Canis lupus familiaris: one gene and its partner. The protein of the gene in region 1 interacts with the protein of each later gene in a pairwise test. Links are inferred from orthologs where the notes say so. Each region holds a gene or a part of one and is shown on either strand. Other genes may lie near its edges.

Region 1 (3,814 bases):
GCGGCTGCGGCTGCGGCTGCGGCTCCGGCTGCGGCTCCGGGTGTAGCTGCGGCTGGCAGAGCGGCTGCTGCTGCTGCTGTACCAGGAGGAGGTGCTGCTGAGGCTGCTGGATGATGAGGGGCTGGGCCGGTAGTAGGGGATGGGGCGTTTCCGGGCACTGCGGAGACCAGAGGGAGCGCGCTGGACGGACCAGACCGCCCAGCCTCCCCCCGAGCGCGCCCGCCGTCCCCAGGGGAAGCGGACTCCTTCCTCCATCCCAGGCTCTTGGGGAAAACACCCTTTTGCGCGCTCCTCCTGCTGTCCTGAGACCATCTAGTGCTGGTGTCTCGAGAAGTGACAGCTCTCACTTGAGAGCCAAGCAAGCCTGAGGCTGGGAGTCTCCAGCTGGCAACCGAATCTACATCTAGACTTTAATTGCACGTTTTGTTTATCTCTTTTTACTTTTACTGGAACCTTCTATTTATGGTAAGAGAGGCTGATCTTCCATTTGCTATGGTATACTGTGGTGCATTCCTTTTGCATTAAATGTATGGACCTCTAAGAAAGAACATATCTGTGTAAAGAAAGGTCAACAACAGTAGCTTACTAAACAGGTAAGTGCAAAGTGCTCGGATGCCGCTGGATGCCTAAAGTTTGGGAAACACTGAATGGCTCATCAGGATGGATTATCTGAGGTTGACTCAGGAGACGAGAGCCTTTTAGAAATGCCAGTTTATCTCAGCCTTCTTCTAAGTCCACCCCAATGGCACCTGTGGTCCATGCTGTGGGAGTAGGACTCCCTTCGTGTGTGCCGTGCTGTTCTATGGGATATCCGAGAAGGTGATGCCATTGCCCCCATTCTTATTGTTTGGAGTCACAAGTGCTTTTCCCTCCTCCAGGTCATCTCTAGGGAGGAGGCCCAGGGCAGCCAGGACATCGAAGCTCCATTCCTGTGAGTCCCTGGATGGAATGGCTGACCCTTGGAGGGCCAGGAGGAGCTGATTGTCCGGAGCCAATTTCAGGACAGCACTCAGCCATTCTTCCTGCTTTCAAGGCCTAAAACTATGTGTCCATTCAGACCTCAGGTTTTTTTTGTAGGGCTTTTCTTATCTAAGACCTTAACTGTTAGAGGCAACCTGATCCACCTAATCTGACCATTCAATCTGTAACAATGACACAGCGAGGGTTCTAGTGTTTTGCATTTCAGTTTACAAAGTGTGTTCCCATCTCTTTGCCCCCCCTTTTTTTTCATCTTCATGATACACACTCCTGAAGGAAATATTCATGGATGAGAACTGAGAATCTGGGAGGTGAAGAGACTTCTCCAGCTTACCAGGAAAGTGGCACAGCCGGGTTCCACTCCAGATCCAGTGCTCTCCCCCTGGCCCACCGAGGCTCCCTCTAAATTCCTTTGGCACCTAAAGATCCTTCTTGCCCTCTCCACACTTGGTGCCAGCTATGATCAGGGCCTATTAAAGCCTGGCATGTGGTCTGACCGTGATCCGTCTTCGCTGGCCGGCTCCACCCCCAGGAAAAGACCGGTCCCGCTGCTTTGCCCCCTTCGCCCGGGATGCGACCTCGCAGCCCTCTCCGCAGACCCCGGCCACACCCCCTCCTCAGGCTGTCCCCACCCCTGTCCCGGGGCACCCATCCTAGCCCCGCCCCGAGGCCCTGACCTCTCCTGTCAGGCCTCGCAAATTGCCTGAGCTCCCACAATCCTGAAATCCAGCTCCACGGGGTGCAGGGGAGATCCCGAGGCCCCGACGGGTGGGAGGGGTGGGAGTGAGGGTGAAGGTGGGCACCCCGGCCCTCCTGGCCTCACCTGGTTATCCTCCGCGCCTCCAGGTGGCTCGGGGAGTCTCTCCGGCGCTTGCGCATGGGCGAGTAGGACCGCCGTCTCCGACGTGCTCGCTCGCGCTCCCGCTGCTGCGAGTCCTTCTCATTGTACTTGGGGTCCCGCTCCCTGAAGGGGTGCGGGGGTCACTGGGGAGCCGGGGCTGGCTTTTCCGCATGAGCCAGGGGCACTCACTTCCTCTTCCCTGCGCCCCGCACCTCATTGCAGCAGGTGCTGGGTTCCTCCCGGGGCCCCAGGGAACGCGGTGGGGAGTAGGACAGGGCTCTGGTTCAGTATTGTGGGGAGACCAGGCGTGGGCGCGGGTGTCGGCCTTCGAGGGTGGGCGTTACAGGGGCCTAGGTGCTGCGGGGTTAGGATGTGGCGGTCCAGAGGGCCCTGGTGCATGCGTAACAACTGCGGCTCTGAATAACGGGGATCAAGGGTAATATTAGGTGCGTGAAGAGGCTGAGGGCCGGGGATGCGAATTCTGGGGTGTGGCTGGCTGTACTTTCCAGGGGGGCCGTTAGAACCCCAGGATATGTTACACGTCTCCACTCCAGCCGAGACCAAAGAAACTACGAGGATGCTGGGTGGTCTCCCCATCCCTACTCCCTCAAGGCTGGACAAAGGGGGAGCTGGGGCGGGGCTTGGGTGACGCTGCGCAGAGGCCGGGGGGAGGGGCCGCGAAGGCGGAGCCCGGGCTTGGGGGCGGGGCTGTACCTGCCGGGGCTGTACCGCGAGTAGCTGGGGCTGCGGCGCGATCGCGAGCTTCTGCTCGGCGGGCTCCTCTTGCCAGACTTGGAGGAGTAGCTGGAAGAGCGCGAGTAGGACCTGCGGGACACGGTAAACAGTCCCCGAGGGCCTGCTGGGCTTCGCCGGGGCCGTGCCGGGGTCGTCCCGCAGGGGTAGGGTTGTATGCGGCTGGTCCCCCGAGGGCGACTTTGACTTTCTGGACGCCAGACCCAGGAATCTGGCCCTTTCCTGAGAATGAAATTCCCTCTCTTTTGGGCGACTAATAATAATATTGGTAACTCCTCCTTACTGAGTTCTTACCATCTAAGGCCACTTACTAGTTATGTGACTTTGGACAGGTGATCTCACCTCTCTGAGCCTCTGTTTTCTCATCTATAAAATGGGGATAAATAATCATACTTTCCCTATACAGTTGTAAATTCAATGAGTAAATCACTTACATACCTCACATAGGCAGCACACAGGAAAGGTTAGCTATGACTGTTAGGCTGTTAGGTATTTCATTGAATTAATGCTTTGTGTGCATTATCTCATTGAATCCTCAACACATTGTAGGGCGAGGTACTATTATCAATCTCATTCCACAGATTGGGAAACAAAGACACTGAGAGGTGAATGTTTTCATTTTGCAGATAAGGAAACTGAGGCTCAGAGAGGTTATCTGAGCCACCAGCTAGGAATGGGTACAGTGGGCATTCAAACTCATCTGTCTGACCTCCCCCCCCGCCCCCCACCAGGGCCAAAGGACATTTCCAGTTACCATAACTAGCTCCCTAAGGAGGAAAGCTCTGCAGATCAGAGGCCAAAACTGCACTCACCTTTTTCCAGAGGAGGTGGATCGGCTTCGGGTGTACCTGGGGGAGACTCTGGGGTTTGGGGATCGGGAGGAGTGGCTGGAAGAGCGGGTGCTGGCATAAGAAGGGCTGCGGGAGCAACCTCTCATAGGGGAGCTCCGGGCTGTGGATGGGACCAAACCAGACTTCTTCACCTCTGCACATTCCAGGCATGGCGACTGAAATCCTCTGCAGATGTGGGGAGAACTCCTGTCAGCACTGGCTTGCCTGCCGATCTGGAGGCATCTGCTGATACTCCTCTGCCTACCTTTGCCTAGGCTGTGGTACTCTCAGAAACCCCTTTCCACCTATTCCCATCTTACTGCCTCTGGAAAGACTTTCCAGAGCACAGATGTTAGAGGAATAGGAACAGAGGGGAACACATTCCACAAGGGCACTTCAGAGGATTTTAGGT
Region 2 (3,814 bases), on another chromosome or scaffold:
TCATTCATTAATAAGCCAAATGATAAACATCACCAATGCCTGGCACATAGTAAGGATTTAAATATTTGCTAAAGGGATCCCTGGGTGGCGCAGCGGTTTGGCGCCTGCCTTTGGCCCGGGGCGCGATCCTGGAGACCCGGGATCGAGTCCCATGTCGGGCTCCCGGTGCATGGAGCCTGCTTCTCCCTCTGCCTGTGTTCTCTGCCTCTCTCTCTCTCTCTCTCTGTGTGACTATCATGAATAAATAAATAAAATCTTTAAATAAATAAATAAATAAATAAATAAATAAATAAATAAATAAATAAATATTTGCTAAATGAATGAACCGACACTTAGTTCTCCATGTGAATGGCTTGTTTCAAAAACACGGAGCCAAAAGAGGCAGGCAGCCGAGTGTCTCAGAGAATAAGGACAACCACAACAAAATGAAAATACCAGCCAACACTCGGGACAGTGTTTGCCATATGCCTGGCACGGTGTCTGGGTTTGCCCTGCATTCACTCCTTGCAGCCTCACAAACTCCTCCAAAAGGAGAGACTATTTTTCATCCCCATTTTACAGATGAGGAAACTAAGGCTCAGAAGGCTTAAGTAACTCTCCCCAACTGACAGCTGCTTAAGTCAGTTTTTGCACCCAGGCTCTGTTCCTGAGTCCAAGCAAACAGACTGAGAATGGGGAATGAGAAAACTTTTCCTCATTCACTCGGGTCCTGTCTTTCACAGATAGCCTTGGGCATGCCAATTTTTTTAAGTCTCTTCTGTGCATGGTGTTGGCCACTCAAAAATAAGTAAATAAAAATAAATAAAGCCAAGCTGCTCCGGTCTCTTGAAATATGTTCTTTCTCCATCCAAATTGTCCCACGTGGACTCATGCAAGCACAGGAAGAAAACAAAAAGGACAAGGTCTTCATGAAGCTGTAGAGGAATGCAAAGGAAGCCCTATCAGAGAACTAGGCTGAGCCTACCCAGGGAACATGTACAGGAGGAGCAATGTGACTGGAGAAGCAGCAAGAAAGCAGCAGATACCTGACTGGGAACCTCTCAAACTCAAGCCCGTGCTGCACCCCCAAAGAGAACAACCTCGACATTGTGATCCACTGAATTCTGACCCGATAAAGCAAAATTAGTTACCTATCTCCAAATCTGCATGCTCCTGTTTTACTGTAGAATGGACAATTAGCTCGATCTTTCTCCATTATCCTTAAGTCGATGGGTGGTTCTGGGTTTTGCCATGTGGCACCATTTTCCAACTGTTGAAAATAACCGTGACTTTATTGGTGGTGTAAAAATCCATGAAGAACTCCATGTTTAAAATGTATGCAAATATTTTGGCCAAAAATAAAAAATAGATTTAAGAATAAGAATATATACATTTAGGTCATAACAGGCAATCCAAACTTCACGAACAATTGCCCGGAGACATGCACCGTGTCTTTCCTGGCTCCCAGTCATCGCCCATCATCAGGCGTCAGTCACTGTGGCTACCAGGAACTGTCACCGAGGTCTCCCTTCTGCCCAGCCATTCTGAATGAGGTCAAAGGACTTGTCAGGGAACCACCCCTGAGAGAGACCAAAGTTGCTCTGTAGCAAGTCAAACCATTTATTTCAGGGCAACAGTGTGTGATGCTGCTCACACACACTGTAAGGACTATAAATAATACAGTCCAGAGAGGTGACTTGATACCATTTGCTTTTGCTCATCAAAAAACTTTTGCTGCTGTTGTTGCTGCTGTAAAAATCGCAGAGCTACAAAAGTGATTCTGATACTCAGATGTGACCTAAATAGCTTACCACAAAATTAACATTATACTGGAAGAACCGTTTTTAAAGAAATGTTCACTGATCTCTAATTCTGAATGAAAGATTTGAAAATACCTCATTTTCAGCCTGCTCCAGCATCTTCTGCACAGCTTCCTACAAATGGTGCAAACATAGGACTAATGAAAACCTGCAAGTCAGGAATGTCACGTCTGGTTTCTCTGGTTAAGAATCTCTGTAACAATTAAAAACATAAAAACAAAAACAAAACCCCACACACATCAAAGGTTTCAGGTTCTAATTTGCTTTCTACAGCACAGATCTTCTGAAAAGCTTTCAAAGGACATATAGCTGAGACTGTTTATTCAAATAGGACATTTATTAGCTCCCATTGCAAAACAGTCTTAAATTGTTTCAGTTAACAGTAATACTTAGCATATTTGCTCATATATACCACATTCTAGCTTTTAAAATGACTGATATAGTATCAGAGAATTATTATAAAATGCAATGCTTAGATCAAACATCATCAACACGTAACAGATATTAAAGTATGACATGAACAGCAGTAACTCGGGTTGATGAAAAAGATCAAACTTTTCGGTAAGGCAAAGGAAGTCTTACAATGTGCCAGTAAATTTTGAGCTGTCATTTAAACAAGTTTTAAATTATTCTTGACAGACTTCTCTTCCCTAGCCCCTTAAAGCATTACATAAAAGACTCCTCTGCCTCGCTGCGTACTTGAGAACGCTACCAGGACCCCTGGTTAACTTAACATGCTCACCAGGCAACTCTGGTTCTTCTCCACCCCCAATCACCTGAACACCCCACATCTCCATAAAGGACATTGCCGTTTGCCCCCTTGTTTGGACTAACAACCTAAAAAGAAGAACTGGAATTCCTCTCCTTTTCCTTCCCCTCCCTGTCTGTTCAACCATACACCTCACATCTGTAAACTTATCCTAACTAAGCACTGCCCTCATCCAAACCACCATCATGTCCTATCTGGAACAGCAGTCTTCTAACTGGTCACTCTATTTCCATTCTTGTCTCCTTGGTCACCGCTCCTGTTCTCCACCCCCTGACCTGTCTTTATACAAAAGTTAGAATGATCTGTTAAGGGTATAGACATGAATTAAGTGAAGTCAAACCCTGCTTAAAAACCCTGCTAATGGCTTCCCATGACAATATAAAATGCAAACTCCTCCTTCCAGTCTAGGAGGCCTTACATGATCTGACCCTGCCTACCTTCCTGACCCCTTCCCTCACCACCCACCACTCTCTCCTTTGGTCTCCAAGATTCAGGCATCCTGACATCTTTTCAGCTCCATGCTCAGGCCTCTTCCCTCTGCCTGAACCCCTTTCCCCAACATTTTTGCACTCAGGTGTCAGCTCAAACCTCAGCTCCTTGGACAAGTCTTCCATGACCAGGCAATTTAAAGAAGTACACATCCCTACCCCACTATCACATGACTCTGTTTATTTCTTTATAGCACTTAAAATTATCTTTTTTGCTTACTCATCTGGCTCCCCATCTCAAAAACTCAAGGAGAGCAGGGACTGTATTTTTCACTGCTTTATCTCTATCTACTAGAGAAGTATCTAGCACACAGTAGAAACATGACTGCATATCCCTTTATACATGCTTAGAACCTACTTTATCTTACCTGCCTCTCCATAAGGTCTCACTTGTCTTCCTTTGAAAGAAAAGCCTGTGCTTTTTTATAAGGCTTAACTTTAATCTGATGCCACAAAGGCCTCAATTGAGAACACTCTGTTAAAATGGGAATCGAGGGACACCTGGGTGGCTCAGCGATTGAATGTCTGCCTCTGGCTCAAGGCATGATCCCAAAGTTCTGGGATCAAGTCCCACATCGGGCTCCCTGCAGTGAGTCTGTTTCTCCCTCTATGTTTCTGCCTCTCTGTGTGTGTCTCTCATGAATAAACAAATAGCATCTTTAAAAAAAAGGGGCGGGGGGAATCAATTACTCTATAAAAAAATGACAAGCTCCCAACAATTTCCCTGCCCCCTAAAACATTAGCATGGCCTCGCCTCA

The links.
Region 2: the proteins of SRRM4 (region 1) and ZRSR2 interact in binary tests that used the Homo sapiens proteins (3 or more experiments, as listed by UniProt). The link is inferred for Canis lupus familiaris from reciprocal best matches to the Homo sapiens genes SRRM4 and ZRSR2.

What each region holds. Positions count from the first base shown.
Region 1 is NC_049247.1:15,661,795-15,665,608, reverse strand, and holds part of SRRM4 (serine/arginine repetitive matrix protein 4), read right to left. Parts: intron 3,589-3,814; coding exon 3,385-3,588; intron 2,645-3,384; coding exon 2,534-2,644; intron 1,943-2,533; coding exon 1,802-1,942; intron 158-1,801; coding exon 1-157. UniProt on the Homo sapiens protein: Splicing factor specifically required for neural cell differentiation.
Region 2 is NC_049260.1:12,099,551-12,103,364, reverse strand, and holds part of ZRSR2 (U2 small nuclear ribonucleoprotein auxiliary factor 35 kDa subunit-related protein 2), read right to left. Parts: intron 1,914-3,814; coding exon 1,875-1,913; intron 1,250-1,874; coding exon 1,131-1,249; intron 1-1,130. UniProt on the Homo sapiens protein: Pre-mRNA-binding protein required for splicing of both U2- and U12-type introns. Selectively interacts with the 3'-splice site of U2- and U12-type pre-mRNAs and promotes different steps in U2 and U12 intron splicing.